Linked DNA regions of Cricetulus griseus. The protein of the gene in region 2 purifies or fractionates together with the protein of the main gene of each other region. This does not show direct contact. Links are inferred from orthologs where the notes say so. Each region holds a gene or a part of one and is shown on either strand. Other genes may lie near its edges.

Region 1 (7,336 bases), on a different chromosome or scaffold from region 2:
TAGCTAGGGGGAAAAAAAAGGAAAAATGTGACTGTTGCCTTATATAAAATCCTGTGTAGTAATCATCTATCTAACAGTCCATACACACACAAAAGTCACATGGAAAAAGTGCTAAAAATATGTATATGAAGCCGTCACAGACTTTCAAAACAGGGTTTCACTAGGTAGTCCAGACTAGCCTCGAACATCTGATCTTCTTGCCTCAGTCATCTAAGTACTGGAATTACAGGCACATGTCACCATACCTCACTAGGATCTCCCTTTAAACACAGTCTACACACATGCAGAAAAGATCTGGAAGACTCTGTAACCAACCCTGAATAGTGCTCATCCATAGTAAATGGGACTTCGCTTTTAATCCTACAGATTTCTATGCTACTTAACACTTTTTGTAGTGCTAGGGGCTTTGCTCCGTGTTGGGCAAGCACTCTTACTAGTGAACTGTATCTCCAGTCTGTTTTCAATAACTAAAACAACAACACCCTCCCCAAAAACCAAGAACAGAGGACAAAGCCAAGGATGGTAGTGCATATCTATAATCCCAGCTCTAAGGAGATGGAGGCAGGAGGATGTTGACTTTAAAACTAACTGGGCTGCATGGCAAGCCCTTGTCTAAAACAAAGACAAATAAGTTTATTCATAAGTAAACAGAAGGTAAGATTGAAGGAGGTAAAAATGTTCTATAGGGTTGGAGAGATGCTCAGGTTAAGAGTACTGGCTACTCTTGCAGAGTAACCAAGTTTGGCTTGTATATCACCCATATCATGTCTGTAACTTCAGCTCCAAGATATCTCTGGGCTCCGTAAGCACGGGTACATCCACACAGCCACATGTACACATTCTTTCTTTCATAAACCTCTGGTTAAGGAAAAATATTTTAAAAATAAAGGATATTCATATTGTCTAAGATTTTCCAACTCCCAAAAGAAACTACATAATTCAAAACAGTATGTTTGTGTTGCAGTTCTTAAATCTGTAAGGAGGTAGGAAGGGATGATAGGGAAACATCTGGTTTTGAGATAATTTAAAAGACTTACATGTAATCTGCCTCGAAGCTCTCGGTCGTTTCTCATCTTCACATAAATTCGCTCATCCAAACTGAGCCTGATGAGATCCAGGGGCTCCTCTACGGTATTGGTAGTCTGTTGCTGATGAAGGAAACACACTTAGTAATGGACCACCAGAGGCAGAGTGGTGTTTCAATCACTGTTAAGCAGTGAAACCAAGGGCTAGTCACATAACCCGTTTATACCTTAGTCTAATTTGCCAAATGCAGAAAATAGTGTCTCCCCAATACTATTATTTTAAATGACATATGAAAGCTTAGAACGGTGCCTCGATGCTATGTAAAAGAGGAGAAAAACATTATGTGGAGAGGAGTTAAGTAGCAAAATGATGACTGAACTTCCAAAAAATCCAAAGTGTTAGAGTACCACTTAGGAACCTTAGCTTTATCTTTTGTATAATTCAATCATTTGAAAAACATACCTGCAATACCTATTCACACACTACTAAAAAGATCTGACAGAATTTGAAGTCAGTACAGCGCAGGTTAAGTTTAGGGTGCTAATTGGCTGGCAAGATGAACCTACCTACCGAGTAGTATAGTATAGAAGTTAAAAGAACTGAGTCATTAGGAAGCCTTTGTTCAATTCTGGGTTCTGACCTGGCTCTTCTGAACTGGGATTAAAAATCATGCCATTTCTTGTTTCAGACTCCTCATTTGCAAACTGGGGAGACCACATCTTTGCCTCAGAGATCTTATAAGGACTAAAGGGTCTATCTGAAGTAAAAAGGAAACACTTCTAAATAATTACCTTTTTTTTTTTTTTTAAGAGGCATGCCCATGACAGCCTTTGATGAGCAGCAAGTCTTTGCCTCTCAGATGCTGGGATTGGGCAGGTATGAACCGAGTCTGGAACTTTTAAGAGTGTGTGTGTGTGTGTGTGTGTGTGTGTGTGTGTGTGTGTGTGTGTGTGATGGGGTTCAAGTAGCTGTCAGAAGACAACTTTATAAAGTTCTCTCCTTCCTCTGTGTGTCCCAGGAATTGAACTCAGGTTGTCACGCTTACAAACTGCAAGCATTTTTACCTGTTATCTTACCAGCCCCACTCCCAGCACCTGTAATTTCTTATATTTAATATAATCTCTTGCTTGCTTCAAGATTTAAGAATGCATTCTTGGTCAGTCATTTCAGAGGAATGATAAATCAGAATTACTCTTCAAGAACTGTTGGAACAGGTTTCAAAGGTTAGAACTGGGATGACCTGGATTCAGCTATATGAAAGAGGTGGTTCCAGCCATCAAGAATTAGTAAGACCATTCAGCAAGCTTCTCCAGTGAGTACCTGGGGTCAGTGAAAGCTGAAAATTGTAGGCTGTGTAGATATGAGGCTGATGACAGGAAACAAACAACCCTCCCAGAACACCCCCAACCCCGGATCTCAACTGGTGCTTTCCTCCTCCCACCTTAGCTCAGCAGGCTTTTGTTAAGAAATCAGACAACCAACCACTGGATTACAACAATACAGAAGCCGCATCCCCTCAATGGAGCTCACTCTAGTATGGAGAGGGGCATATAAATACATAGCTGCAAAACAATGAAATCTGTTCCCACGACAGCCCTCTTCAGTCTAGGATGGCCACTGTCAATCCTTTTCACCCTGTAAGCTTTACATTCTGCCTTTTCAAAGAAGCTGCCCCTGAACATTGGGTTCGTTCCCTCAACTAATAACCTGCTGAGTGCTAACAGCACTGTCCTAAACCTAGGAAAGAAAAGCAAACACAGAAAACCCCCCTTTATTTTAAAGGTTTACTTTTATCGTGTATGTGAGCAGTTTGCCTGTATGCATGTGCACCACACGCTGACACAGTGCTCGGTAGCAGAGGCCAGAAGGGGGCAGAGGATCCCCTCCTGCAACTGGAGTTAAGATGCGTTGGGGTGCTGTTAAGCCAACATGTGGGTGCTGGATCCCAACCATGGTCTTCTACAAAAGCAACAAGTGCTCTTAACTCCTAAAGCAACCTCTCCAGCCACCCCCGCCCCAATGCCCCTATTAAGTAACTTACGTTCTAGTTATGGAAGAAATGTCTCAGATAAAGAAATACATATTTAAAATAACATGCTCTGTTATTTTAAATACCCGTGTGTGGGTGCGTGTGCGTGTGAGGGAGTGCAATCATTTCGGAACTCCACAGGTAGCTAAGGAATAGGGGGAAGAGCAGGTGAAGAGGGCAGCCTGTGATCCTGTGTGCACCCGATCTTGGCTTGCTTTCTCCAGACTACATCTCCACCAGGTTCTCTACCTCCCTCCCTCCCTCCTACTGCACTCCAAGTGAGCCGCTGCCTGCGCACCAGGCGCTTGCACGTATTACAAAGCTGGTGTCCACCACTACCTCACGCTTTCTGTCTGGTGTCGACAGCCGTTTGCATTTTACAGATAAAAGCCGATGCCGAGCGTGATGGGCAGATAGGCGGGTTGAGAAAACTCTAGGCCTGCGGAAGTTTCAGGAGCCGGCGCGGCTACGGAAGGCCGTGGTTCCTCGGGACAAAGAGAGACGGGCCGCTTCTCAGCGAGCGTGGAAAACGCGAACCCGACCTGGAAGCGCAAGCGCTTCCTCTAAGAGCGCCTCCGGACAAACTTACCTGATCTACGTCGTCCGCCATGTTTCAAACGCTGCGCCCTTTCCACCTCTCGCGAGAACAGGCACTCAGAAACGCAAAGGGTTCCACTCTCGGGAAGTAGACCTACTTTATTTTTGTCCCTTTGCGCCCCTGTAGTTTGCAGGGGGAGGGGTTTCTCCGGAGGGCGTGGTCCCAACCTGGTCAGGGGGCGCGGCCCAGGCATGGCCCGCCTCGGGGCGGGGCGAGCACGCGGAGAGTGTCTGCGGCCGGCTGGCTGCGGTAGCCCGGAGTGTCGCTGCCGGGCAGCATGGCTCCGAAGCGCCCTGCGGGAGGAAGGCGGCGGGGGCGCGGCCGAGAAGCCGAGAACAACAAAGCAGCCCGGCCGGAGGAGAGCGAGGCGGGTGAGAGGCTGCGGCGCGCAAGGCGATGGTGGCGGAGGCTGGGGCGGGCAGCGGGGCGGAAGGTCTCCACGGCCGGATGCGCGGCGCCCCGAGGGCCTCTACCATCAGCCCTGACCCCACCGTAACCCCTAGGACCAAGTCCAGCCTCTTGGCAAGTGTTGAGGGCCGATCAGGAAAAAGCTTCCCTGTTGCCCGGTGTCAGAGAGACACCAAAACTAGGACAGAGGGAGACCTTGTAGTGTGAGAATCTCTCTCCAAGTTGCATCCACTGTAATTCCGGCCCCAGGTTTGCGATGCGCTTCTTACCTTGGTCTTGAACCAAGGAGAAGCTTAAAATATTCCCATCTCAATAAATCACTCCTTCACCCACCTGTTAAAACACGCCTTTTCTTAACTGCTAGTTCGTCAGGAGGTCCAGTTCAGCTTCGGAGTCACTGAAATATGTGCCTAATTCTCTTAATTTCATAGCTGGTATCCTGTTCCTGTCGTTTTCTAGTTGAGTGAGTTCCCCTCTACATCAGATCTCCATCCAGCAGCCAAGTGATGTAGAACGACAACAAAACTTCATATGCCTTGGTCTTCTTACTTAAAACCTTCTTAGATGTGTGCTCTCCGTGTATAGCATCTACCTCACTTAGCATGTCTCTCTTCCAGATATTCTTATTTTAAACAGCAGCCCGGCCTAGAGCTCTGGGTTTTTCCTGTCTCATCCTCATGATCACAGGGATTACAGATGGCTCTTGGTGACTGCCTTTCTCTTCTTTGAATATACTGTTTATTTATCTGGAGGCTTGGCCTTCCATGTTTCTTTGCCTTAGAATGTTCTCCGTCGCTGTTGCTGGGTCTAATTTCTTCTCTACTTGAGGTCTAAGACATTCCACGGTCATCTTAAAGTAGTCATTCCTAGGTATCCTCCACCACAGAATCACAGTGATGTTCCTATTCACCTATCATTCTACAGTCATCTTCATTTCTGATTGTTTGAGTACAATGTAAGCTTCATAAAAACAAAGCTCATTTCCCTTCTTAACCTATTTTGTTCTTTCTCTTGTTTACATCTCTGAAAAAACACTTTACTATTTTTTTATTTTATGCATATGTTTTTTGCATGCATGTCTGTGCACAATGTGTGGGCCATGCCTGCAGATGTTAAATAGATGAGGGTGTTGGATTCCCCAGAACTGGAGTTACAAAAGGTTGTGAGCTGCCATTTCGGTGTTGGGAATTGAACTTGAGTTCTCTTGGAAGGGCAGCAAGTGCTCTTAACTGCTGAACCATCTCTTTTGTCCTGCAAAAACATTTTTTAAATATGCAAATGCATGCTGCTAGAGAAGGGCTATCTAGGCCTTCTAAAATAACTAGATAAAAAAAACTTGACTAGTTGAGTGACCCCTATACCCACCCCATAGCTCCTACTACCTTGGAATCGGATTACATACAGATTGTAAATTCATTGCCCACTAGGAAACAGTAATATTTCCTAAACATTAGAGGCCTTAGCTTACTCTACACTTAAGAAACTTCACCGTCTTCATTTACTCATCTAAGCTAAGACATTTCTTGAGCATCTGCTATGTGGCGTCTGCCAGTTTGGTAGTTTCTACATGGAAAAGTTGAGGAGCACTCCTATGCATGCAAATGAAGATGAGGCTTAGCTCCTTTTGATAGTTGGGAATAAAGAACATCATCACTTACCTTGTTGTCCAATAGGCTCCTCTTCATATGTTTTTTTTTTCCTCTGTTAATGTCTTCATTGGGAAATTCATTAGTTTCTCTAAGTATTTATTCAGTGATTTCCAGCCACTGCTCTAAGTACTGGGAGTATACTAGTAGACGAAGCAGGCAAGGTTCCTGCTATTAGGATGCTGATATTCTTTGGGGAAGCGAATAATGTTAACATAATGAGATTTAAAAAGAGAGAAAAAAGAAAAGCAAATTCACATGGTGATGAGTAAATCCGGTTGCTCCCGTCAGACTGCCATAGGTCTGGGAAGAGGCAGTGTTAGTGTCCAGGTGCTGTAGCCAATTTGAGCTCTACATTGGAAGTGAGGTGGTAAGTACAAGGGGGGTGTCCGATGCACAGAATGGGATGCTTAAAGACTCTTGGCTGTGCACAGTATGAAGAGATGAACTGTGGAAATAGAGGTGATTGCAGGGCAGGGACCTCAGCCTGAAGATCAAACTAAGGAATTTGAATTCTTCTTGAGTGCCTTGGGGAGTTCTGAGAAGATGTATAACCTGCCCTTAAGTCTCCATAGCTCAATGAGGAAACCACAGTGCTAATTCTTGAACTGCTGAAATGACTGAGCTCAAGGAGACTGGTTAGGTATGCTAGATGCTCTTAATTTTGGAAACTATTCTGGAGATTTGTTGAGAGGCTACCCTTCTCCTCTTCGTCCTGCAAAAAATAAACAGCAAACAATGCTGAAAAGTCACCTGTTTCTGCCATCTAAAGATTACTACTGCAGAGTAGAGGTCCATTTTCTTGCCGCCTGAGCTTTTTCACACTCAGCCAAAACAACGTTTTACACTGAACATATTATGCCATTTTTCCTTTGTTTTAATGATTTAATTAAACCTGGTGGTGCACCTTTAATCCCAGCACTCCGGAGGCAGAGGTAGGCAGATCTCTGTGAGCTTTCGGCTACCTAGGTCTCCAGAATGGCAGTGTGCTTGAGCAGAGTTTGGTTTAGAATGTGGTAGAAAGAAAATAGTAAAAGTAAGGTGCAAAGAGGTTTGTGAACTGGAAGGGTCTCACCTGAGTAGTAGATTCTACTAGGTCTTCGCAGGTGGTTGGCAAGCATGGTGTCATTGAATGGATTCGAGGGGTTTTTTTTTTTTTTTTTCCCTTACATTTCTTTTGAGATTGGAATTTAGAGTTTTAGTCATAGGGTGGTTTCTGTTTTAGGAGAAGTAGAATAAGAAAGAGTCTTCTGGTAGTGTAGCTGGGTGTAGCACTTCCCTATGGTACATGGGGCTCTGCATTTGATTTGTGTGGTTTTTATTGTGACCATAGAGAAGGCTTTAGGTGAAAGGTTGAGTACTGTGTGCTGCCTAAGACACAGGATGGTGACCAGGGGATTGATGACAGATGTGGTTCTGGGGAGCCTTGCCCAAAAGTCTCACTGCCTCCACCTTCTCAACCACCTGTCACCTCTTGCTCTGTGTTGTTACCTAGATGATTTTGAAGATGAGAAACAGAAACCCCCAAAGAAGTGCCCTCTCTCCAAAGTTTCGCAAAGAAAACGGAAGAGAGCCTGCAGTGATCCAGGAGACCCCACAAAGGGTCCATCAAAAAAGAAAGTGGCCAAA
Region 2 (7,308 bases):
CCCCTCTAACACCCTTAGTCCATCCATGGTCCACTTAAGTGCAGCTAGGAACAAAGGCTGAGAAGCAGGAATCTCCTTCGGAGAACAGGAGGAAGGGCCTAGAGAATTGACATTCCCCCTTCCCATGCCCTAGGAGGACAGAGTCAGCAAACAGTCCATGCCATCCAGCCCAGCAGGCTCGGAGAGGAAGCCGATGTAATTCCAGCACAGCTGGGCTTGCTCAAGTGCCAGAGGTGTCAGGGAGAAGACTTCGGGAAGCAACTTGAGAAAAGCTCTCTTTACAGATCCAAGGAAGGAAACTTTTTGGAGCCAGACACGAAAGACCTTGGTTGGGATAATTTCCTCTTCCCTAGGTCCTCAGGAGCAGCAAGGGTAGCCTCTTCACACCTTCTGTCCAGAAGGCCACTTAGTGGCTGGGGGAACGGGCCTTGTGGAACAAGTACACAGGACGCTGGAAGCCTAAAGAACATACAGAAGGCAGGTGGGTAGGACCTTGAGATTCTTCACAGAGCCAGCACCCTCTCCTCCCAGAGACAAAGTAGAGCCATTCTTACCTCTGGAGGTGTTACTTGGTGTGGCCACAAGCTCATAGCTGGAGAAGCCCACCTCTGGGGATGTCAGGTAGGAACTGAACTGTTCTGGCTTCAGCTTGATTCGAAAGTAGTTCTTATAGATTGTTTCCTGGGGAAATAGGAGAGGGATTACTTCAACTTACTTCTCTTTCCTGGCCAAGCATGACAACCTTTTGTCTTTGTTCAGAAAGTCTGAGCTGGGTATGGTGGTACAAGCCATACAAGTCATGTCGGGTACTTAGAAGGCTGAAGCAGGAGGATGAAGAGTTCAAGACCAGCCTGCAGCACTACAGAGCCAGTTCAGGCCAGCAGCTTCAGCCAGTCTCAAAATAAAGAGGGTGGTTGGCATAACTTAGGCAGAGGCAGGCAGATCTCTGAGTTCAAGGCCAGCCTTGTCTACAGAGCAAATTCCAAGACAGCCAAGGCTACACAGAGAAACCCTGTCTAGAAACAAAACAAATCCCCCCCCCCAAACAAACAGGCTGGGGCTATAGCTCACTTTCCCTGCTATGTGTGAGGTCTGGGGTTTAATCCACAGTAAAATAAAAAGATGATTATCCCCTATCTCTACAGAAACCCAACTCACGGTGAGAGACTTTCTCCTGCAGTAGGAGGACCATGGTTGGGGTTCCAGGACCAGAATACCGCCAGGGCGGAGATGCCGGTAGATGCGGCGGAACATGCGCTTCAGCCCCTCGTCACCCCAGTTCAGATGCACCCACTTGGTGAGGCTGAGACAGAGCACCACATCATATTCAGGTCTTTGGGCATCCACCAGCTCATCTCGGTCCAGGACATAGTTACCCTGAGGGCCAGAAGATGGGAAAGAGGTCACAAAAGGAAGAGGTGTACCACTGGCCCCACAACCACCTGCAGACTCTGAGACAAAGTCCTACACACAACCTCACTTGGGCCCTTGGTGGCCTTCTTCTCTGAGGCTCCTCTCGACAGCGCCTTCTGTCAGTCTCATGGTCTCTTCTCCCTTTCCTGCCTCTGCTTCCTCCTGGTGCTAAACCAAACAAACCTAAAAGGGAGCCTGGGCAGATTTAAATTGAACTAATTATCTGAGGGATAACTGAAGAATATTGGAATGCTCCCAAGACCCAGCCCTCATATACACAGGCAGCAGTCCTAAAGACTGAGGTTCTTCCCACTAGGGTCTGCTAATGCTTCAGGTCTATTTCTTCAATGAAATTAAAAACCCAGGAAACCTTCTCTTCCCAGTCCCTGGGAAGACATGTTTTCAGGATAAGCCATGGGCACATGTTCCTCTGGATGGCCTAACTGCTCAATGGAAGAAGCTAGTAGAGACAGGGACACATGCTCTGTCAGGCTGGCTACTCTTTCCTCCCTTCACCGCCCCTCTCCTGCTATTCAGAGTCAGCACGGGAAAGACGGAAAGCCAAGCCTACTGGGTTCCTGACCCAGTCTGTCCTGTATCTAGGGAAACAAAAAGCAGCTGATACATACAACAAGGTCCCTATCAAAGGCCCCAAACTACACATACTGGAGTGCCAGTCTCCTCCTCCCGCAAAGACACCCAATCTCAAGCTCCCTCAGGAGATTTGAGGACAGGGTTCCATCTGGACAGAGCTGTAGAGGTAACCCTCAAGGGAAGGTGGATTGTCTGGTATAGTTCCCACTGGAAGCAGGACAAGTCAGCCCCTGTATTGGGGATGAGATCCTTGTAGTCATAAGACCAGATGTTAAGAGCCTGCAGGTAGAGATCCCACTTTCCAGGTTATAGGATAGACAACACACCCAGTAGAGATTCTCTGGCCAATGCAGACTGTTCTCTCCAGAAGATGGTTCTTGTAGGAGGAACAGATGCAGGAATACACCTCTAGGTCATGACCTTTCCCCCAACACATTACTATTTAATCTCATCTTCACACTTGAACCCTATTCCAAGAGCCTTTGGATTCTCTTACCGTGACGAAGACGACATTGTTGGGGAAGACAGATGTGTCCGCTCCATCCAAGGGCACTTGGGGTGCAGCGATGGGACCCCGGCTGGCTGTCAGTGAGGCTGGGAAGCAGCTCCTTTTTCGGACAGTGGTAGTCCCTTCCTCCCCCTCTGTCCCTGGGTCACCCTCAGAAGTCTGGGCTCGGAGACGAAGCTCCTCAGACAGATAGTGTCGGATATTTTGGCGGGCAGAGTGGATAAGCCGTGGATCAATGTCCAGCCCCACCATGCGGGCTGGGCCCCACTTGCAGGCAATACTTAGGGTCAGATGGCCAACATTGCAGCCCAGATCTAGGACGTCCCGGCCTTGAAACCACTCCGGCTTCAACACCCTAAGGCGCACATCCTCGCAGGAAGGATTGCGATAGCCATAGTACTTGCAGTAATTCCCATACTGGAACTTTTGCTGTTGCTTTTTGAAGCCAGTTGCAGGGAGTGGGTGGTGATGACGGCCTCCCCCACTCCCTTTGCCCTTCTCCTTGGAACCCTGGCTTCCACCCCTAGCCCCTGCCTCCGACTTGCTGGAAGTCCTGCGTCGTTTTCGATGTCGGGAGGAGGAAGATGAGGGTGCAGAGGTAACTGAGGCAGCTGGAGGGGCAGAAAGGGAGCCTGAGAAACTCTGCAGGGCAGATGGAAGGGGAGACACAACTTCATCCCTGCAGTTGATGGCTGTGTTGAGTTCATAGGGCTGAGGGGCATCTCGGTTCTGGCCCCTGTGCTGCTGCTGCTGCTGCTGCTGCGTGGTGGCACCCTCCGCATGGAGTGAGGGGGTGAGAGGGTCAGTGGGGAGGGCGGCGTGGCTGTCACTCCCTCCAGGCGCCTGCTGCTGCTGGTGGTGAGGTCCCCGGTGTCTATGGCGCTTTCGACCAATCTTGAGTGGCGAGGCAAGAACTACATGGGCCTCATCAGTGCAAGTGTTGAGACTGAGCGGGTCAGTGATATCTTTGGGGATGAGGATCTCCACAGGGTCTCGCCCCTTAGCCGGAAGTGGGGATGACTTTGGGGTCTCTGCATTGAGCGCTCGACTTACTTCCTCATCCAGGAGGCTATTCAGGTTCAGCGGATCAAATATATTGCCCCCCAGAAGGAAATTGGAGGGTAATACCGAGTCGCAGTCCGAATTCACTCGCCGGCGCCTCTTGAAGGCCGGATGCTTGAAGCCTCCACCGCTCCCTCCCCCTACGTTACAGCTATTTCTTCGTTTGCCCCCGCCACCCCCGGGGGGTCGGTGGGGCTGGTAGCCATTGCGAGGTCGAGGAGGGGCCGGGGGACCCAGGTCCGTCCCGCCCCCTCCCCGTCGCTCCTCCCCCACGTCCGCAGGCGCGGCGGCTCGCCCGTGGGGCTCCCCGGGCGCCTGTGCCTGGGGGCCGCCCCCTCCGCTGGCGGCGGCCCCGGCCGAGTGCGCGCGTGGGCCCGGCCCGCGTTCCGTCCCGTCGCGGAGCTCCCCGGAGGCAGCCTCCCGGTGCGATCGCACCTCGGGGCCGCCCCCGCCGCCCGACTCATCTTTGAGCGGCGGTGGCGGGGCCGGCACCAGGAAGGGCTCCTTCTCCGCCGCCATCTCGATCATCTCCTCTCCCCGTTTGATTCCCCCTTGGCAAGCGAGGGGACCGAGAAGAGACTGAGGGGAAGCCCCCTGCAAACCCTCCCCTTCCCCGAGTGCGCGCGCAGCTCTGCCTCGCGCCCAAGCGCCTCCACAACCCCGCCCGCGACACACCAAGCGCGCCCCACTCGCCCGCGAGACCAAAACAAGATGCCCGCGAGACCCGGGCGAGCCGAGGACCCAACTGCGCGTGCGCCGCCACCCTTTCCCCGCCGCCACTACCACTCTGGCGCGAGCGCGCACGACGGGCGCGCGGGGCTCTCGTCCAGGGCCCGCGCATGCGCCCTCCGCCACCACCCGGGCTGTGCGCGCATCGGGAGTGCGCACCAACTTAACGGCTCCGAGAGTTTAAATGCAGCCCCCCCTCCCTAACAACCTCGCCCTCCCCCAGCCCGAGGCGCCCCCCTCCCCACACGGACGCCCGACTTCCCTTCGCTGCTCTGTCCAGCCCTACTGATAGCCTTTGTCTCTGCCGCGCGCTCCCACCCACCGGAGGCGGGGACCGGAGCCGGTGTGAACAGGTCTCCTTGACACCCGACCCTTGCTGCTGAGGAATGAGGCTCCACCGTCTCCGCCCGGCTCTAAACCCAACAACCTCCCCGCCCCGCCTCCTTCCTCCCCCATCCCCGCCCCTCCGGGAGAGCGCCTGCGCACGGCGCTTTCCGCCTTGCGCGGGTACCAGGGGCGACACGTGCAGGAGGCGATGCCCCGCCCCTTCAGCCCTGGGGGCGGGGCGTGTGACGTCGCTTCCTCACGTTAGGTACGCGGCGTGCGTGCCCCGGCGGCAGGGGCGGGCTCGTGGGTGATCTCTTTACCCCTTCCTTCCGCCCGTCTCACTGCGAGGAGGAAGTGGAGGAGGAGGAGGGGGAGGAGGAGGGAGAGCGACCCAAGTAGGCGAGGGAGCCGTTACCAGCAAAGTGCAGTGCACCATTTTACACAGTCTCTGACTGCACCAAAACGTCCCCCCCCCCCGAAAAGGCCGGTCTCTCGCAACCCGCCTCCTCTTCCCCCGACGGCGAACCCCGACGCCCGACACCTGCTCGGGGCGGACGCCTCCGCCACGGTGCGACGCCTGCGCGTCAGCCGCTTGCCCGAGGGTGGCGTTGTTGGCGCCGGCGGCTCCTGCAGCACCTCACACACCAGCGCGGCCGGGCGAGCGGGCGGGAAGGGTAACGGCTCGCCCTGGGCCCTCCGCTCCCGCCAATGGGAAGCACGCATTCGCTGCCGAGTCCCCAGAGTGGCGGCAGGCGGAGTTTCCCCGCCAACAGACTGTGTCAGACAAGAGCGCGGCAGAGGCAAGAGTGTTGCTGGAGATGGTCCCACACAAAGTATAAAAGCGTGAGGGAAACGAAAGGATGCGGGGTGTGTGATGAACACAGGAATGGGGAGGCGATTGGAAGCAGAGATACCGGAACCAAGTACCTCAGGCGCTCTGCTGCATATGGGGTGGGGGTGGAGAGAACCGGCGCCCGCGAGGATTATGGGACTTGTAGTTTCAGCCGGCTTTAGTTTGGAAGATGGCGGTGTACGCCAGCTGCGCATTCGCAAAGCGGCTTCCAGCTGCGCATGCGCATCATCTCTGAAGGCACGCCGCTCGGGGGCGGGGTTTGTCCGTGTCCTCGCGCCTGCTCTGGTGGCGGGAAAAGTAGTTCGAGGTGGAAGAATGTGCGGAATGGCTGCGACGGCGTAGGCTGCGCCTCGTCTTTAGGTCCTCGGCGCCCCAGAAGGTAGCTGGCTGCTTTTATCCCGCCCTAGAGGAGCGTGTTAGGTGCGGTGAATCCTGGTACCTGTTGGCTGAGGAGAAATTTTCCGTTGAGAGCTGCAGCCGACTCGACCCCTTTCTCAGAGTCCCTGATTTCCAGAACACTCGCAACACAAACAACCCAGTGTCGTGGCGGGAAATGAGGACTTGAGGGACAGTGAGGCTGAGCGGGAGCTGAGGGGAAGAGGCGCTCACGGTGGGATTCCTGGTCAGCAGGAGGGGATGACGAAGCGCCGCGTGGCGCTCGGAGGCGCGGCTTGTCTGAGTGCCTGTTCCAGAGAGAACTGCTGAGGAAGGCACAGGACACATGATCCTTGAAGCGAGAACGTCCCTGGGGACGGGGCCGGGGGAGGGGTGGGGTGGGGGGAGGGCGGCGCGAATGGAAGCAACCCAGAGAGCGATGTCAACAATAGAAAGCACATCTGCTCTGTGGAAAGAATCTGTTTTGCTCTAGGCGTTGGTGGCGCACGCCTTTAAACCCAGCACTTGGGAGGCGGAGACAGGCAGATCTCTGTGAGTTCGAGGCCCCAGCCTGGTCATAGAAACAGCCAGGGCTGTTGCACAGAGACACCCTGTCTCAAGAACCGCCCCCCCCCCCCCGCCAAAGAAAAAAACTGTTTAGCTCATAAGTGACCAACCATATCTTTGCCGACACCCCACCCCCTGCTATTTGTCTCCCACAGACAGGGTTTCTCTGTGAACTCACGCTGTAGACTAGGCTAGCCTCGAACTCACAGAGATCTGCTTGCCTCTGCCGCCGGAGTGCTGGGATTAAAGGCGTGCGCCACCGCCGCTCGGCTTTTTCTCCCCCTCCCCCAAGCCTCTGGCCCAGAACCATGGATTGTATTTGAAACTTTCTGTTGAAAGTTTAGCTTGGATAATTACTTCTGAAAGTAAATTTGGCCAGGGTAGATGGACTCGTCTTTCTTGTTAAATGTTTAAAGTTTCTAGAGCATGCGTGCTCAAAAGGGAACTTAAAAAAAACAAAAACAGTTAATCGAGTCATGAGAATAGGCAGGAGTTCATCGGCTATTAGACATTGATGTCAAAAGGCCATTAACTCCATTTTAAAAGAAATGAAAATTTTAAATGTGTTTTATTTGTTGTGTGGGGGTGTGTTTATGTGTTCGTGTGTGTGCACATGTCATAGAGCATGTGGAGGCCAGAGGACAACCTGATTCCCCTCCCCCCCAACATATGGGCTCTGGAATCAATTGCAGGTCATCAGGCTTGGCAGCAAGCACCCCTGCCACTAAGCCATCTCCCCTCCCCAGCATCTATCCATTCATGCATCCATCCATCTATCTTTTTTCAGAGACAGGGTCTTGTTTGTATCCCTGGCTGTTCTCAAAGTCACTTGTAGCCCAGACTGGACTCAAGTTGTAGCAGTGGACATCATTCTCTCAAG
Region 3 (7,258 bases), on a different chromosome or scaffold from region 2:
TTGAGTCCTCTTCCATCAAAACCATAAGAGAACTCATCTTCACCTATGATAGACAACAATCAATATCTATCTGCAAAGTTTCCACAGAATCAGCAATATGTTAAACACAAGCAAGAAGCTAAAATATAACCTTACCAAGCTGTGGACAGGAAAAATCAACAGACCATCCAACTCTAAGGAGAGAAACTTCTGTGCAGCCTTCTTTCATTGGGAGATTCTGTGTTACCTGGTCAAGTTAGAAAGGAAGTCTCAGGTACTTTGACCAATTCAGGTACAAAGTCTGAGTTACAAAGATAAGATTTGTATACAAACTGGGGGAAAAAAAAATCACAGTTCAATATCAGAAAAACAACTTTCATTAAACCTGAACCAAAGACCAAAGTTGTAGGCCTGGGGATGTAGCTCAGAAATAAAGTGTCTAACATGTATGAGGCCCTGGGTTCAACTCCAAGCACAAAAAACAAACAACAAAACAAAGCCATACGGGTCAATATGTTGCTCAGAGCTAAGGGTATGTTAAGCAGGGTGCCTTTCCTGAACTAATAAAATACCGGCCAGGAGTCCAATACACAATTTAAACTAATAAATGATTTTAAAGAGTCCCTTACCTTGGCCTCAAAGCATACTTTTCCCTTTGTTACTCCATAAGTACTTCTTGCCCCAGACCAAAGGGTAGGAAATTTTTCTGAGAAAAGTGGCTGCCCTCCATATCGGTCTTTGCTTATTTGGAAATGGAGATCCGAGGTATCTGTTAAGAAAGAAGGATGTGACTAGTTTACTGCAAAGCTCAACACTTATAAAGTGCTGAGAGCACCATTATGCCCAGTTATCATGAATGGACACAAAAACTGTCCAAATAATCAGACCATTAAGTTTTACTCTCAAAACTCATTTTTAGATCACTCCAGAGACTAACATAGGGGGATCACAAGTTGGAAGAGGGCCTGGAATATATAGCAAGGCCCTATTCTCAAAAAACAAATTATTTGTATTATACATACACGTGTCCAGGTTCACAAGTGTCTGATCCTCCTCTTCATCTTTTGCTTCCTCTTCTGGAGGTGGTGGGGACTTCGAGCTACAGGTAAGGAGAGGAGAGCAAATGCAATATACCCAAAGCTACTTTCTTTGAGGTTATTTGTGTGGCACTGCCCATTTTAAAGTATCAGTGAATTATCAAATTCCAGCAGACAGCTTCTTTCATTCAATGAGAAAAAAAAAATAGGAGTTTCCATCACAGACTTATTTACTCTAAATTTTATGCCTACAAAGACCTATTGCATTTTTCAATCCACCCCTCCTTCCAGACTGTCCAATCAACACCAGTAATACCAAAAGCAGAGCAGACATTCCCATCAAGGGAGTGTTTCCCTCACCGGCTGTGGTAAGCCTCCTCTCGGAATTCATAGTAAGCTCGGCCATGTTCATCCTTCTCATCCCGCTGTCTCTTTACCCCCCGCCGCTCACCATCTGAGCCTGCTGGTTTTGACTTTTCACTATCCTGGTCATCTCCTACAAAAGGGAGGGAAAGAAAATCAGCAGTTTTTATACTGGAGCAGAGAATAAGCTCAGAACTAAGAGAATCTGAGTTAACCAATATGGGAAATTGAGGGTATCTGATTCAAAGTGTTCCTAGTATGTATGTATGTATGTATGTATGTATGCATGTATGTATGTAATGGTTTATTTCCAATTATCTTTTCATTGGTTAAGGTGAGGGGCACAGTGAGCTAAATACAGTCAAGAAATAGAAAAAGTTGGGCAATTTTTCCATTCTAAATTTATCTACTTCATTCAAGCCAACATGGCAGATCTCCCCACTAATAAGAAAGGAAAATATCCCTGAAGTTGTTTGAAAACCTTCACAGGTGAATTTCAATTCTCATCAGATTTGTATTTATGGCAAGTACTTAATGACTATTTTCTAATGCCTTTCAACAGCTATATGGAACAGAAGGCTTATATTTTCTTTAAGAGACTACTTTTCTGCATTAAAATGCACAGCCACACAATGGCAGCTGAATTTTTAACAGGTATTTTAATTGAAAGCTACCAGTGCAAATCAGTAAGTCACAAGTGAACCATAAATAACACCAAAGCTTCACTTCATGGAATTTGGGGCAGGAAGGTGGTGGTGGATATTTAGCAACATTCTTTTTTTCTTTTCTTTTCTTTTTTTTTCTAGACAGGGTCTCACTATGTAACTCTGGCTGTCCTAGAACTCACAATGTAGACCAGGATGGCCTCAACTTAGAGATCTGCCTGCTTCTGCTTCCCAAGTGCTGGGACTGAATGCATGTGCCACTAAGCCTGACAGCAGCATTCTTTACAAGGAGTAACACATAGCGTTTTCTTTTTCCCTTAGGCTTTTGTTTTGAAGCTTAAAAAGTCTTCTTCAACAATTCCTCTAAAGTACTCTCTTATCTGTGAATGCTTTTTATCTGCTATTTAGGATACACACAAGTTAATGGTTATGTAATAGGAATTTTGTTCCAGGACATAAGACACAACAACCCCCCCAAACACTATACTTTGTATTCAATCATTGTAAAATAGATTCCAACTACATGACACTAACAGCCTTAAAAAAAAAAACAAAAAAAAAAAGATATAAAAAACTTAAGGCAATCCCCTTGGAAGTAAGACTTGGAAGCAGCTCTCCTTCCCCTGACAGTCAGACACTATGGATTAGCTCTAACCAGGCAAGCATTTCAAAAGAAAGGAGAAAGGTCATTAACTCCCAGGGGAAGTCTCTACACATTTTCTACCACAAGGTTACTCAACTGACCCACTAGAAACCCCTCAACCATTTCAGCTCAGGAAGTCAAGAGCCTTAAAGGCACCGGTGTAGAGTAAGTCTAAACATACGCCCATTTACTGACTTGGAAGGAGAATTAAGATATAAAAACAAGAGGGACAAGGTAAAAAAGCCTCATTCAAGCAACTAACATGCTACTAAAAGTTACTAAGACTTTTTCTTTGCTAGTTAATGATTAAACGCAATAGGCTCATACTAGACACCGTCTACTACCGCCAAGCAGGAAGGAGCAAGGTTAGCTACCCAGTCTCTGTAAGGCTTAAGCTCTAACGGGAGTTTGACAGAAAAACACATCACAGAGTGTTTACTGCTTAACATTCTCACTGTAAGAAATTAACTGTCAGATAGGTCGAAGCCCTAAGCGTCTAACTGGTACCTGCAGATCGCCAATTTCTCACTACATTTTCTGCTAAAGGTATTCAGCTAAAGAGGAAGCACCAGAAGACTGATCCACAGGTAGCTCCAAAGTACACACAGACACAGACATAGGCACACACGCATGCCACACCACACACTTCCATCCACTAACACCAAGAAACCACGTTAGGCAGAAACCTCCCTCCTGCAAACAGGAGAGCAACAAGGCACCCAAACCCTCAAAAAACATGGGCAGTGGATGAAAACCACGTTCCCTGGGGAATCCCATCAAACAGCCACGGAACCCGTGCACTTTCCGGCAAGTGGAAACAAGGAATCAGATGGCGCGGTGCAGGGTGGGGTGCTGGATCAGAGAGACGCACCAGGCTGGGTTGGAACCTGGCTCTGCTGCAAGTTCCTCACCTTGTTCTTCTGTGGCCTTGTCACCCGGTGCCTCGGATCCCGGCGTCTCATCCCCGCTGCGTTCCTCCGGCCCGTCTTCCTCCCCCTTGCCGGTGTCATGCTCTTCACCACCGTTTACCCCACCTGACCCAGCCGTGGCCTCCGCCGGTGCGTCGGAAGATTCGGGCTCGGCCTCCATGGCTGACGCCTCCGGGGGCTCCGGAGGCGGCTGCGCGGCCTGGCCCAACGCCTGAGCAGGAGGTGGCTCCTCGTCTTCGTCCTCAAGCAGCGCCTCCTCGTCCTCCTCCTCCTCGTCGTCCTCCTCGTCGTCGTCCCCGCCCGGGCCTCCGCCCGACGCGGCCACAGGCCGAGGCTCCGCCTTGCAGGCCCCGCCGGGCCCGGCGCCGCCAACGCCGGCCTCGTCCTCCAGCATCTCAGCATCCAGAGCCTCCTGAAGCCGCTGCGCCAGATCCATCTTGAGGCCGCGCGAATCCAGGCCCCGCCGCTGCAGCTCCGACCGCAGCTCGGTCACTTTCAGCCGCTTCACCTCCATCGCCGCCGCCGCCTCCTCCGCCTCCCGCCGCCTCCTCCCCTGCGAACTGTCGACCGAGCCCGACCGCGCAGGCGCCGCCGCCGCCCGCCTCCGCCTCCCGCGCCAGCACTGTACTCGCGCTCGTAAGCGCACGCAGGCGGCGGCAGGAGCCGCGCGGTTACAGCGGCGTGTTTGTGTCGCCCTCCTTCGGCCCTGCCCCTTGCGGCTCACTGAGCCCCAAACAAGTGATAGAAAGTCGGCTCTCGGCCGCGGACGGGCGGGCAGGCGGGCTGGCGGGCGAGCGCGCGCTGAGGACGACCGAGTTCCCTCACTTCTCCTTCCCTCCCTCCCCTCAGAGGCCCCGGCCAATCAGCGGAGGCCTCATGACTGCGCAGCCGCAAGGAACCTGCTCCGGCAAGGCTGGCTGCGGCTCAAGTGCCTCGTAGCACGGAAGCGTGTGTGTGCCCCTCGTTCGGTCCTTCGGTTGTAGGCTCTGCGCAGTCGCGCCGGAGCCCCGCCCACCCTGTCAGTACTCTTACTTCCTGCTCGCTCCCACTCGCCGGGGCACCCTAGGTCTTACTTGATGTCGTCTCTTCCGTATTCTTTCACTGCGTCTTCTGAAAGTCATCAACCGAGACAAGCCGGAGGGCTGCCTGGCGCAGAGCAGTTGTTTTCGTAGCTCGTAGGCAAAGGGTTTTCCAGCGAGAGCGAGCAATGCCCGGGTCTTTTTCTGTGCTTAAACTTCTACCCAGCAACAGAAGCTCCGACCCCGCCCTTAGCCTCTCTCATTGGCCATCTTGAATCGTAGTCTGTTGCTGTGATTGGACATCTGATATCGTGCGGCTTTTTTTCCTATTGGAGAAGTGGCCGGGAATTTTTTTTTTTTCCGGGTTGGTCCGCTGGGAAGGCGGGGTCATTTTTGCGGGATTACTTTTCTGGACTCGTTTCTGATTGGGTGAAGTGACGCAATGCGCGCTCCCCATTAGATGCTAAACTGCGGGGAAGCCGGCTCTTTTCCTCTCGGTGCTGCGGCTCTTAAACTGAATCCCTGGAGGAAACTTCCGGGCTTGGGCCACTGCAGTCTTGCGCTTGTTGTGTTTGCCTGTGCATGCGACATCTGTCTCTCCTGCAGATTGGGAGGTTCAGGCCTCATTCACTTCGGTTCCTTAATTAACAGCAGAGACATCAACAAATGCTTGTTGAATAAGGTCAAATAAAGAGCTTGGGAAGGAGCGAAGCCTTTTTGACTTGTTTCAGTTGTTCCCGCCTACTCCATCTTCTTCCAGGTCAGGGGGTGTGTCTCAGAGAAAAGGAAACGAATTTTGCGGCGGTCAAACACTTGGCATTTGTACTTGGGCCTTTAAATCTTCCTAGAGTCTATACTCACGCCAGGATCTCTTCTTTTGGAAATCATTTGGTCTATGGCTTCACTACCTCATTATTCCTTTTGTTGTGGAACTTCTGGAAACTGAAAACAGGATAGATAGAACTGCAGTAAAAACATCAAAGCTCAAGTTAAAGGAGAGTGTTTTTTTTTTTTTTTTTTTTTTTTTTTTTTTTTTTTTTGCTTACAAAATAGACTTCCCAGACCAATAATTTTGATCCCAACACCACGACCTCTTTTGATCTTCCATTTAGCAATTCTAACAGTCATGGAGAAGCGCCTGCAGGAGGCTCAGCTATTCAAGGAGGAAGGGAACCAGCGCTACCGGGAAGGGAAGTACCGAGATGCTGTGAGTCGGTACCATCGAGCTCTTCTCCAGCTGCGAGGTCTGGATCCAAGTCTGCCTTCCCCGATACCCAATCTAGGACCTGAGGGCCCAGCTCTCACGCCAGAGCAAGAAAACATACTGCACACCACCCAGACAGACTGCTACAACAACCTAGCGGGTAAGAGTGGGGGGGGGGGCAGGAGGGTGGGTGGAGCATCAAGACTTGACCACCGAACAAGGGCATTGGTGGCGCACGCCTTTAGTCTCAGCACTCAGGAGGCAGAGGCAGGTGATATTGTGAGTTCGAGGCCAGCCTGGTCTACAAAGTGAATTCCGGGACAACCAGGGCTACACAGAGAAGCCCTGTCTCAATAAACAAGGTGAAACAAACAAAAAAGACAGCGCCATCGAGCCCTTTGAATACTACAATCTTCGCTGTCATCTGATTATTGGGCAATGAATTGAAATCTGTTTCCAATCTGTAGAGAGCTCTTAAGCAGGCAGAATTTTTCAAACCTAACTTAGAGTTTGTGAAAATACAACTTCCTAGGCCCTAACTCCAGAAACTTTGATCTAGTGCATCTAGGGTGGTACGGCCAGTGGATTTATCTGGAGGAATGTTGCTAACTTTAGAACATTTTTCCTTCTGTAGAAAAAAAGTGCCTTTGTCTAAAGGAAATTTAACATTTGGGAAACAAGTTACTGGCTCTAGATACTGTAGATTACTTGTGCTTGATTGTATTTTTTTTTTTTTTGTAGAAATCAAGGACATTGGATAAGTAGTATCTTCCATTTCCAGATGGCTTTGTATGAAGATAGAACAGTTCTGCTAGGATTAACCTAATTGACAAGAGACCTTTTATTCTTTTCTATGGTAGACAAATCAAGCTTAGAACTAATTAACTTAACTTACAGTATAGTAAAGGCATTCTAACAGTGCAAACTGAGGCTATATATATATTATCAAGAGCTTTTATATTTCATACTGGTTGCTTTTTAAAGTTATTTTTGTTTTTCTTGAGACGCAGTATGTAGCCCAACCTGGTCTGAAACTCACTTTGTAGACCAAGCTGGCTCCAAACTCCTGGCAGTTTTTATGCCGCTGGCTCACAAGTGCTGATGTTATAGGTGCCAGCCACGGCATCTGGCTGTTTATTTTAAAAATATTTTTGTGATCTCTGCGAGTTTGAGGCCAGCTTGGTCTACACAGCAAGTACCAGAAGAGCCAGAGCTTCATAGAGAGATCCCATCTCAAACAAACAAACAAACAAGCAATGTTATATATATATATATATATATATATATATATATATATATATATTATAGAGCACTCTTTAACTTTATTTGTATAAACTTAAATATGTATATACAGGCAGACACACATATTGCATGTGTACATATGGTGTTGGAGTGGAGCTGTGGAACTCAGGGCCTTGC
Region 4 (7,314 bases), on a different chromosome or scaffold from region 2:
CTGCCTCCCGAGTGCTGGGATCAAAGGCATAAGCCACTACCACCTGCCTGACTAGAATCTTAAAAAAGACAAGGTCTAGCTATGTTGTCCAATGTTAGCCTCATATTGGGAGCCCTGTGACTCGGGTTCACAGGCACATGCATCTAACACTAAGAGGTATTTTTATATCTGGTTAGAATATAAATTTTCTCCCCCCCCCAAAAAAAAACCCAGCTAATATTTACCCACTGTTTGCTGGGGCTCAAACTCTTGGAGATCTGCCAACCTCTTCCTCCCCAGTGCTAGGATTTGTGCTTGGATTAAAGGCATGCATCACCTTGACAAGCTCAAATCTAATTTTAATTGTAGTTACAGCCAACTTATAAAATTAATGTGTTAAGACAGTAACATTTTGGATGTACTAATTCTAAAACACACCTAAAATCAATACTCTAGAGAAAACCAATTACTGCTGGGCGGTGGTGTCCCACGCCTTTGATCCCAGCACTGGGGAGGCAGAGGCAGGTGGATCTCTGTGAGTTCAAGGCCAGCTTGGTCTACAAAGTGTGTTCCAGGACAGCCAGGGATATACAGGGAAACCCTGCCTCAATGACCGCCCCCCAAAAAAGCCTGTTATTTAAATAAGAGGGAAATATTGGCTAACCCGTAAGTGCAGACTGAAAAACCTGATTTAAGATTCTGCCCTAAATTTCAAATCTTTATTGCAATAGAAGACTCTGCCCACAATGCCAGAACTTGGAATTTCAAAGCAGCCAGAATTAGATAGTTCAAATCCAGCCATGACTACATAGTGAGGCTCTAAACTCAAGAGAAGAAAGAAAGAAAGACAGAAAGAAAGCTGACATCTTCAAAATTTCTAAGACAGATATGGAATTCCTCTTTAATTTCATTCTCTATTCACTACTTCTGTTTCAGAGCTACCAGACAGCTTCAATAAAGGCTTATTAAAAGTATGAGAGCTAAGGGCAGGAAAGAGCCAAACTGACTAATCATTCAAGATTGTCAATACTTAACTAAAGATCCTAAGAGTTTCTTTCCTTTTACTCCTAAATCTGATTTTGCCAATTTCTTACACTACAGGAATTAGATTTAGGTTCACAAAGTTTCTTCTTATAGCATCAAAACAAAACAACTCAAAATGTCTTATCTGGGCTGGAGATGGCTCAGTAAATTGACGCAGCACCCACCTAGGGTAGATCACATCAGCCTGTGGCTCCAGCTCCAGGGAATTCAGTACCCTCATCTAGCCTCTGGGCACTAGCACAAACACACCCAATATTAAAACCAAGTTTTTTAGGTGCACTATCCTATATTTGAAACTCATTTCCTCAGCCTGGCATTAGTGGCTCATGCTTTTAATCCCAGCACTCAGAAGGCAGAGGCAGGCAAATCTCTGTGACTTCAAAGACAGCCTGGTCTACAGAGTGCCAGGATAAGCTCCAAAGCCACAGAGAAACCCTGCCTCGGAAAAAAAAAAAAAAAAGAAACAAGTTTCCTCAAAGATTTTAAGAAATAATAGTAGAATATTTGACCCACTAATCCACGCATCTATTCAAATTAACCTTTATTATCTTGGTTAGTAAGGGTTTAAGAAAGGATTTCTCTATGTAGCCCTGGCTGACTTGAAACTCACTTTGTAGACCAGAGATCCACCTACCTCTGCCTCTCAAGTGCTGGGATTAAAGGCGTGTACCACCACAGACCGAGCTTTACCTTGGGATTTTAATTAAACAAATATAGTCTTACCTGCAACTGAAATATTACTAGGTATTCACTTCCAAATCACCAATTGTTAAATAGGCCATTTCAGTTTTAACAAAACTGAAAACAGTACTATATTTACAACTTTGTCCAAGGAAAAAAATATCCTTTTATCCCTATTCTTCCCCATTCCTAAAAGTCATCTCCCCAGTCATTACCACATAATACATCTTTTCCTCCAGCTAACCTCTGAATTTTATCAAAAGTTTTGCAAAATCTAACTTACATTGTCTTTTTATGATCATAAACTTACCGAGTAGAAAGCTATACTTAAATCATGACTTTTTTAACCTTAAAATGACCAGCTCTGAATTGTAAAATTAAAATTGTAGTCCAGTAACAATAACCATCATAAAATAGACAGCTAGAATCAAACCCAAAAGAATTATACCATACAAAATTATACTTACATATCGATGGAACTGCGTAAAAGACTGGATCATGTAGAATCGGTGCATGTATACTATGGCGGTGTTGATAGTCAGTTGTGAGCTGAAGCACTCAAGTTAAGGGTCAACAACACACAAGATAATCCCCTTCCCAAAAAAACAGCACAGTAGACAATCCTACACGAAGGTAACAGTTACGGCTTCAAATCAAACAGATTTGTTTTCCTGAACTAACTAAATTGTTAACTGACAATCAACAGCATGTCTTCTACCTAACAAGTACTTATAAGAACTCAATGACTGAATAAACAAAACAAGTGGCAAGGTGTAAGTCTGTCATGTCACTTGCCTTCTGCAAAGATGAGCTATTAGTTCAGGATAACTTTTTTCTAATTACATTTACTTTTGGAGGGGAGATGCAGGCCATAGCATAAGTTTGGGAGTCAGAGTCAGAGAACAACTTGCAGGAATCTTTCCACCTATGGGCCACAAGGATAAAACTCAGGTCAGCAGGTTTTGGCGGCAAGCGCCTTTACCTGCTGGGCCATCTTGCTTGCACAAGGATAATTTAAACTCCAGAGATCAGTTTTTTAGTTCTACTTTTTTTCTTTCTTCCTTTTTGGGTGCTGGGTGGGTGGATATGGGAGTGTTGAGACAGGGCTTCTCTGTGTAGCCCTGGCTGTACTAAAACTCACTCTGTAAATCAGTATGACTTCAGACCAAGACAGAAATCAGCCTGCTTCCACTTCCCAAGTGCTGGGATTAAAGGCATGCACCACCAAGCCCAGCATAGTTCTACTTCTCCCAGGAAATGTCACATGACTCCCAAACTACTAAACATTTGAAATGATTTGATGGTGGTAATCCACTGAAAATAAACTCTTCCCTCCCTCTCTCTAGTTAGACCAGAGTCTTTTGTTTGTGTGGGTATACCTCTAGCCAGGAAAAAAAGAGCATGCTTTATTCCCAGACTTCAGCAACAATCTATATAGAGATGACAATATGACGGCAACAAGGTTAAACACACTTTTAAAGAGTGCCTTAAACATATACAGAAACATAGAGGTTTAATTGTGCACTGACTGAATACTAGGGAAGCAAACTGGATTTCAATAGGAAACAACTGGCCAATAAAGAGAATACCTATTTAGAAGAAAAATAACCCTTAAGACCTAAACATTAGAGTCAGATTTTTTTTTTTTTTTGGAAGACAGGGTCTCACTTTGTAGCTTTGGCCTACCTCTACCTCCCCAATGCTGGGATCAAAGGTGAACACCACCATATCCAGCCCTCAGCACTCTTAAATAAATGCTACATAAAGTTGAAGCTGCACCTTAAAGAAAGTTAGATGGAAAATGCTAAGAGTTTTAACAAAACTATTAGTTTTATCACAAATGACTGCATTCTCTTAAGAATGAAAACGGGAGGGGGGTCAATAAATTGTCTTATCTTTGAAATTTGAAAACGAATGAATAATCTCTAGTGCCCTGAGAAGCAAGAATTTAATACTCTGCAGAATACTTAAAACATTATTTCCATATTTATACTTCCCTACAAACCGAAGTTGGCATTTTTCTTTCCTCTTAAATTCTATGAAACAGCTACTAAACAACTGACACTCAAGTGTTGTGGTGGACATAGAAAAACAAGAATTTGACAAGTTAAAACAGCTAGCAAGTGGGAAAAACGGGTTTGGAACCAAAGCCGGGGCGCTAATTCTAGACCACCTTCATAAAACCCCTTTTTTACACACTTTGGGAGTCAGCGTCAATAGTGAAACCTCTTAAACGGAGCCTTTGGTCACGGCAGAAAGACTCTCAAAAGCCACTAGAACAGGTGAGAATCCAGAAGAGAGGGGCTGGGAAGGAGGGGCGAAAGCACAAAGACCGGAGAGGTCCGAATTCCCAGCCAGGCTGGTAGCACCGGTGAGCGAGCGGGAAATTGACTCCGCCTCACTTCCCTCGCGCGAACAGTGGCTCGGCCAGCGCCATTGTGGGCTCTCCCCACTTAGACGTCCAGCTCCTGCCGCCACCTTACCCGCTCGTGTCCCCGCCGGCGTGGCCGGCCGGCCGGACGCCGAAGCGTGGCCGGACGGGCTCCAAGGCCGAAGGCCTAGGCCGCAAGGATACACGTTAAGACGTTGTCCCATGTCCTGGAGTAGATTGGCCGCCTGCTGGCGGTAAGATAGTTCTTTATCTGAGTCCACGCCAAAACGACGCGACGGGCTATTTTCCAGCTGCTCCCGAGTGAAATACCACCGTTTGTTGTTGTTCTTCCTCTCTCCCTCCATAGTGCTTCAACCAAAAGGCAGCGGCGGGGGCTGCAAGCACTTCCCAGCGTCACCTAAGCGGCGACACACATCCGCCGGGCCGAGACAACTGCGACGTGACGAACTTCCTCCGGAGAGTCGACTCCCAGCTTGTGACACACTTCCTCCCAGGAAGTCTAGGCTTCAAACGCCTACTTCCGGAGTGAACCCTGCGACACCCCGTAGACGCATCCACAGCCAGTCCGCGGCTAGGGACGAAGCCACAGCCAAGACGCAGGCGCGGTCGGGTCACGCGACTCCCGGATGCGGTGCGCTCTTCAAAATTTGTTCTTTGCAAATCTCGCCTCTCCCCGCGATAACTGTACGGAAGTCGCGTTGTCGGCGGTCCTTGACCGTCTCAGGCTGCGCTAGCCCAGTCTCTCCCCAGGGCTTTCCTGATTTCGTTGCTTACTGGCGCACGCCTTTAATCCCAGCACTGGTGAGGCGGAGGCAGGGGGATCTCTGAGAGTTCCCGGACAGCCAGGGCTACACAGAGAAAAGCAGTTCTATTTATACCAGCCCTTCCTCCGTCTCACTGCCGGTACCCAACGATGCTAATTTCATGCCTCGGTGTCCCAAGAACACGATGTGTTGGGGAGTTTTTACTTGAGGATGGAGATCCGTCCTTTTTTATTTTGTTTCGGGATGCAGATCTGTCTTTGTTTCTGTTTGTATTTTAGGCAGGGCCTACTGTGTAGACTTGGCAGGCCTGGAACTCACCAATCCGGTAGTGGTCGCCTGAGTGCTGGCATTAAAGGCGACACCACGACAGGCTCGGGACTGCTGACTTACGTATGACTTCACTTAGGTGGTGAGGCCTTTCCTCTTGCTGTACTTTTGTCAGTGAAAGCGATATGCTTGCCAGTGCAGATTCCAAACCTTCAATTAGGTCCCAAGGGTGTGCCCGGCGCCAGTGCTGGCCTGATCAATAGTTCTAGGAAACCCAAACCTTAGGGAAAGATTATCAAGGGAAGGAGAACAAGAGATCATTTGTGCCCTGCACTCACTCCCAGGTCTACTTTGTGGGGCTGTGAACAACAGCAAGCTGGGGCTGCTGTCCGCCTCACCCTCCTGTCCACTCCAGGGTGTCTGTTCCCAGGCTTCTGTCGCAGTGTTCAGCTCAGTTCTGATGTTCACACTATCCCAAATCACGGATCTGTGAGTGACCCCACTCTTTATCAAGAGCCCACCGTAGCCACCACTAGCCTGGGAATTGGCAGTCCATCTCAAACATTTGGGTCTCTGATTTTTACCCAAGAAGTGCTATGGGACTTTGTGTGTTTGAGTGTCTGTGTGTCTATTTATATGTATAGATGTGAATGTGAAAGAGGGGCCCCTCGAGATGGCTCAGCAGGTAGATGAGGCTGCTGCCAGACACTGATGACCTGAATGCCATCCCTGGGACCCCCATGGTAGATGACAAGACTGACTCTGGCAAGTTGTCCTCTGACTGTACCAAACGCACTGAGGCACGGTACAGGAACAGGAAATAGTTTAAAAGTAGCAAAGAATCCTAGGATCTGCTAATGGATGAACTAAAACTGCCTCTACAGTGCGGAAAGTTCCACAACCACCACATGGAAAATTTCTAAGTTCAGGAGGCTATTAAATTGGAGCCCAGCTCCAGGTCTAGCAGCTTTTCATCCTAAGCAAAATAATTAAACCTTCTCAGTCTGCCTTCTTTGCACTTCTCCCTTCAACACCAATGGAGATTGAATTTAGACCCCTGGGCTTATGCTAGGCCAGTACACTACCTCCTAGCTGTATCCAGCCCTGTTTTGATTTGTTGTTTTAAATTGGCTAGTTAGTCTTGAACTTACTTTATAACCCAGGCAGGCATTGACCTTATGAAATTCTGGGCTCAACTTCCCACATGCCTAACAAGCTCATTGTGTCTGTAAAATATTAGTGATATAGGGCAATATGTAGTAGTGTGCCCCACAGTCAGGAGGCAGAGGCAGGAAGATCAAAGTTCAAAGCCAGCCGGGTCTACAAAGTGAATTCCAGGCAGTGCTGGCACACACCTTTAATCCCTGAGGGAGACTGAGTTTGAGGCTAGCCTGGTCTACACAGTGAGTTCCTAACAGTCAGAGCTACTTAATAGAGCCTGTCTCCAAAAAAAAAAAAAAGTTCTTGGAGGTCCATCCTCAACAGATGCCTCACTTTTGTGTTATATATACAGGAGCCTCACCAAGTTCTCATTGTTAAGAGGAAAAGCCCTGTCAGGCGGTGGTGACACACACCTTTGATCCCAGCACTCAGGAGGCAGAGGAGGTGGATCTCTATGAGTTTTAGGACAGGCTCCAAAGCTATACAGAGAAACCCTGTTTAGAAAAACCAAACCAAACCAAAACATAAAAGTCCCTCTTGCTTCTAGCAAGCTGGAAGAAAAAAAGCAGCATTGTGAAATACACCCAGCATTCTTGTCCCTAAGGGTCTGCTCTAAGCCTCTTTTAGTGGTGCATACCTTTGATCTGGGCACTCAGGAGGTAGAAGCAGCTGTTTCTATAAGAGTTCAAGGCCAACCTGGTCTACATAGAGAGAACCTGTCTCAAAAATAAAGCTGGAAGCCGGGCGTTGGTGGTGCACACCTAATCCCAGCACTTGGGAGGCAGAGGCAGGTGGATCTCTCTTGAGTTCAAGGCCAGCCTGGTCTCCAGAGGGAGTGCCAGGATAGGCTCCAAAGCTACACAGAGAAACCCTGTCTCGAAAAACCAAAAAAAATAAAAATAAAAATATAAAGCTGGGTATGATAGCACACACTTCTGAACCCACCACTGGGGAAGCAGAAGCAGGAGGATCTCTGTGAGTTCAAGACCAGCCTGGTCTACAAGAGTGAGTCCCAGGACAGCCTCC

Evidence for each region.
Region 1: the proteins of Mepce (region 2) and Lsm3 purify together in Homo sapiens (affinity purification with mass spectrometry; 3 studies listed by BioGRID and IntAct, with this or other methods). This does not show direct contact. The link is inferred for Cricetulus griseus from reciprocal best matches to the Homo sapiens genes MEPCE and LSM3.
Region 3: the proteins of Mepce (region 2) and Hnrnpul2 purify together in Homo sapiens (affinity purification with mass spectrometry; 3 studies listed by BioGRID and IntAct, with this or other methods). This does not show direct contact. The link is inferred for Cricetulus griseus from reciprocal best matches to the Homo sapiens genes MEPCE and HNRNPUL2.
Region 4: the proteins of Mepce (region 2) and Ccnt1 purify together in Homo sapiens (affinity purification with mass spectrometry; 3 studies listed by BioGRID and IntAct, with this or other methods). This does not show direct contact. The link is inferred for Cricetulus griseus from reciprocal best matches to the Homo sapiens genes MEPCE and CCNT1.

The regions. Positions count from the first base shown.
Region 1 is NC_048601.1:52,287,979-52,295,314, forward strand, and holds the start of Lsm3 (U6 snRNA-associated Sm-like protein LSm3), read right to left. Parts: upstream 3,795-7,336; 5' UTR 3,666-3,794; coding exon 3,645-3,665; intron 1,149-3,644; coding exon 1,038-1,148; intron 1-1,037. Other genes in the region: Xpc (DNA repair protein complementing XP-C cells), read left to right, coding at 3,931-4,024, 7,203-7,336. UniProt on the Homo sapiens protein: Plays a role in pre-mRNA splicing as component of the U4/U6-U5 tri-snRNP complex that is involved in spliceosome assembly, and as component of the precatalytic spliceosome (spliceosome B complex).
Region 2 is NC_048597.1:116,679,314-116,686,621, forward strand, and holds the start of Mepce (7SK snRNA methylphosphate capping enzyme), read right to left. Parts: upstream 4,502-7,308; 5' UTR 4,106-4,501; coding exon 2,504-4,105; intron 1,609-2,503; exon of another isoform or gene 1,476-1,608; intron 1,378-1,475; coding exon 1,159-1,377; intron 682-1,158; coding exon 555-681; intron 460-554; coding exon 407-459; 3' UTR 1-406. UniProt on the Homo sapiens protein: S-adenosyl-L-methionine-dependent methyltransferase that adds a methylphosphate cap at the 5'-end of 7SK snRNA (7SK RNA), leading to stabilize it.
Region 3 is NC_048596.1:51,267,154-51,274,411, forward strand, and holds the start of Hnrnpul2 (heterogeneous nuclear ribonucleoprotein U-like protein 2), read right to left. Parts: upstream 4,330-7,258; 5' UTR 4,131-4,329; coding exon 3,599-4,130; intron 1,513-3,598; coding exon 1,377-1,512; intron 1,079-1,376; coding exon 1,002-1,078; intron 749-1,001; coding exon 609-748; intron 227-608; coding exon 136-226; intron 44-135; coding exon 1-43. Other genes in the region: Ttc9c (tetratricopeptide repeat protein 9C), read left to right, coding at 5,762-5,999.
Region 4 is NC_048595.1:395,039,816-395,047,129, forward strand, and holds the start of Ccnt1 (cyclin-T1), read right to left. Parts: upstream 4,554-7,314; 5' UTR 4,441-4,553; coding exon 4,280-4,440; intron 2,254-4,279; coding exon 2,172-2,253; intron 1-2,171. UniProt on the Homo sapiens protein: Regulatory subunit of the cyclin-dependent kinase pair (CDK9/cyclin-T1) complex, also called positive transcription elongation factor B (P-TEFb), which facilitates the transition from abortive to productive elongation by phosphorylating the CTD (C-terminal domain) of the large subunit of RNA polymerase II (RNA Pol II).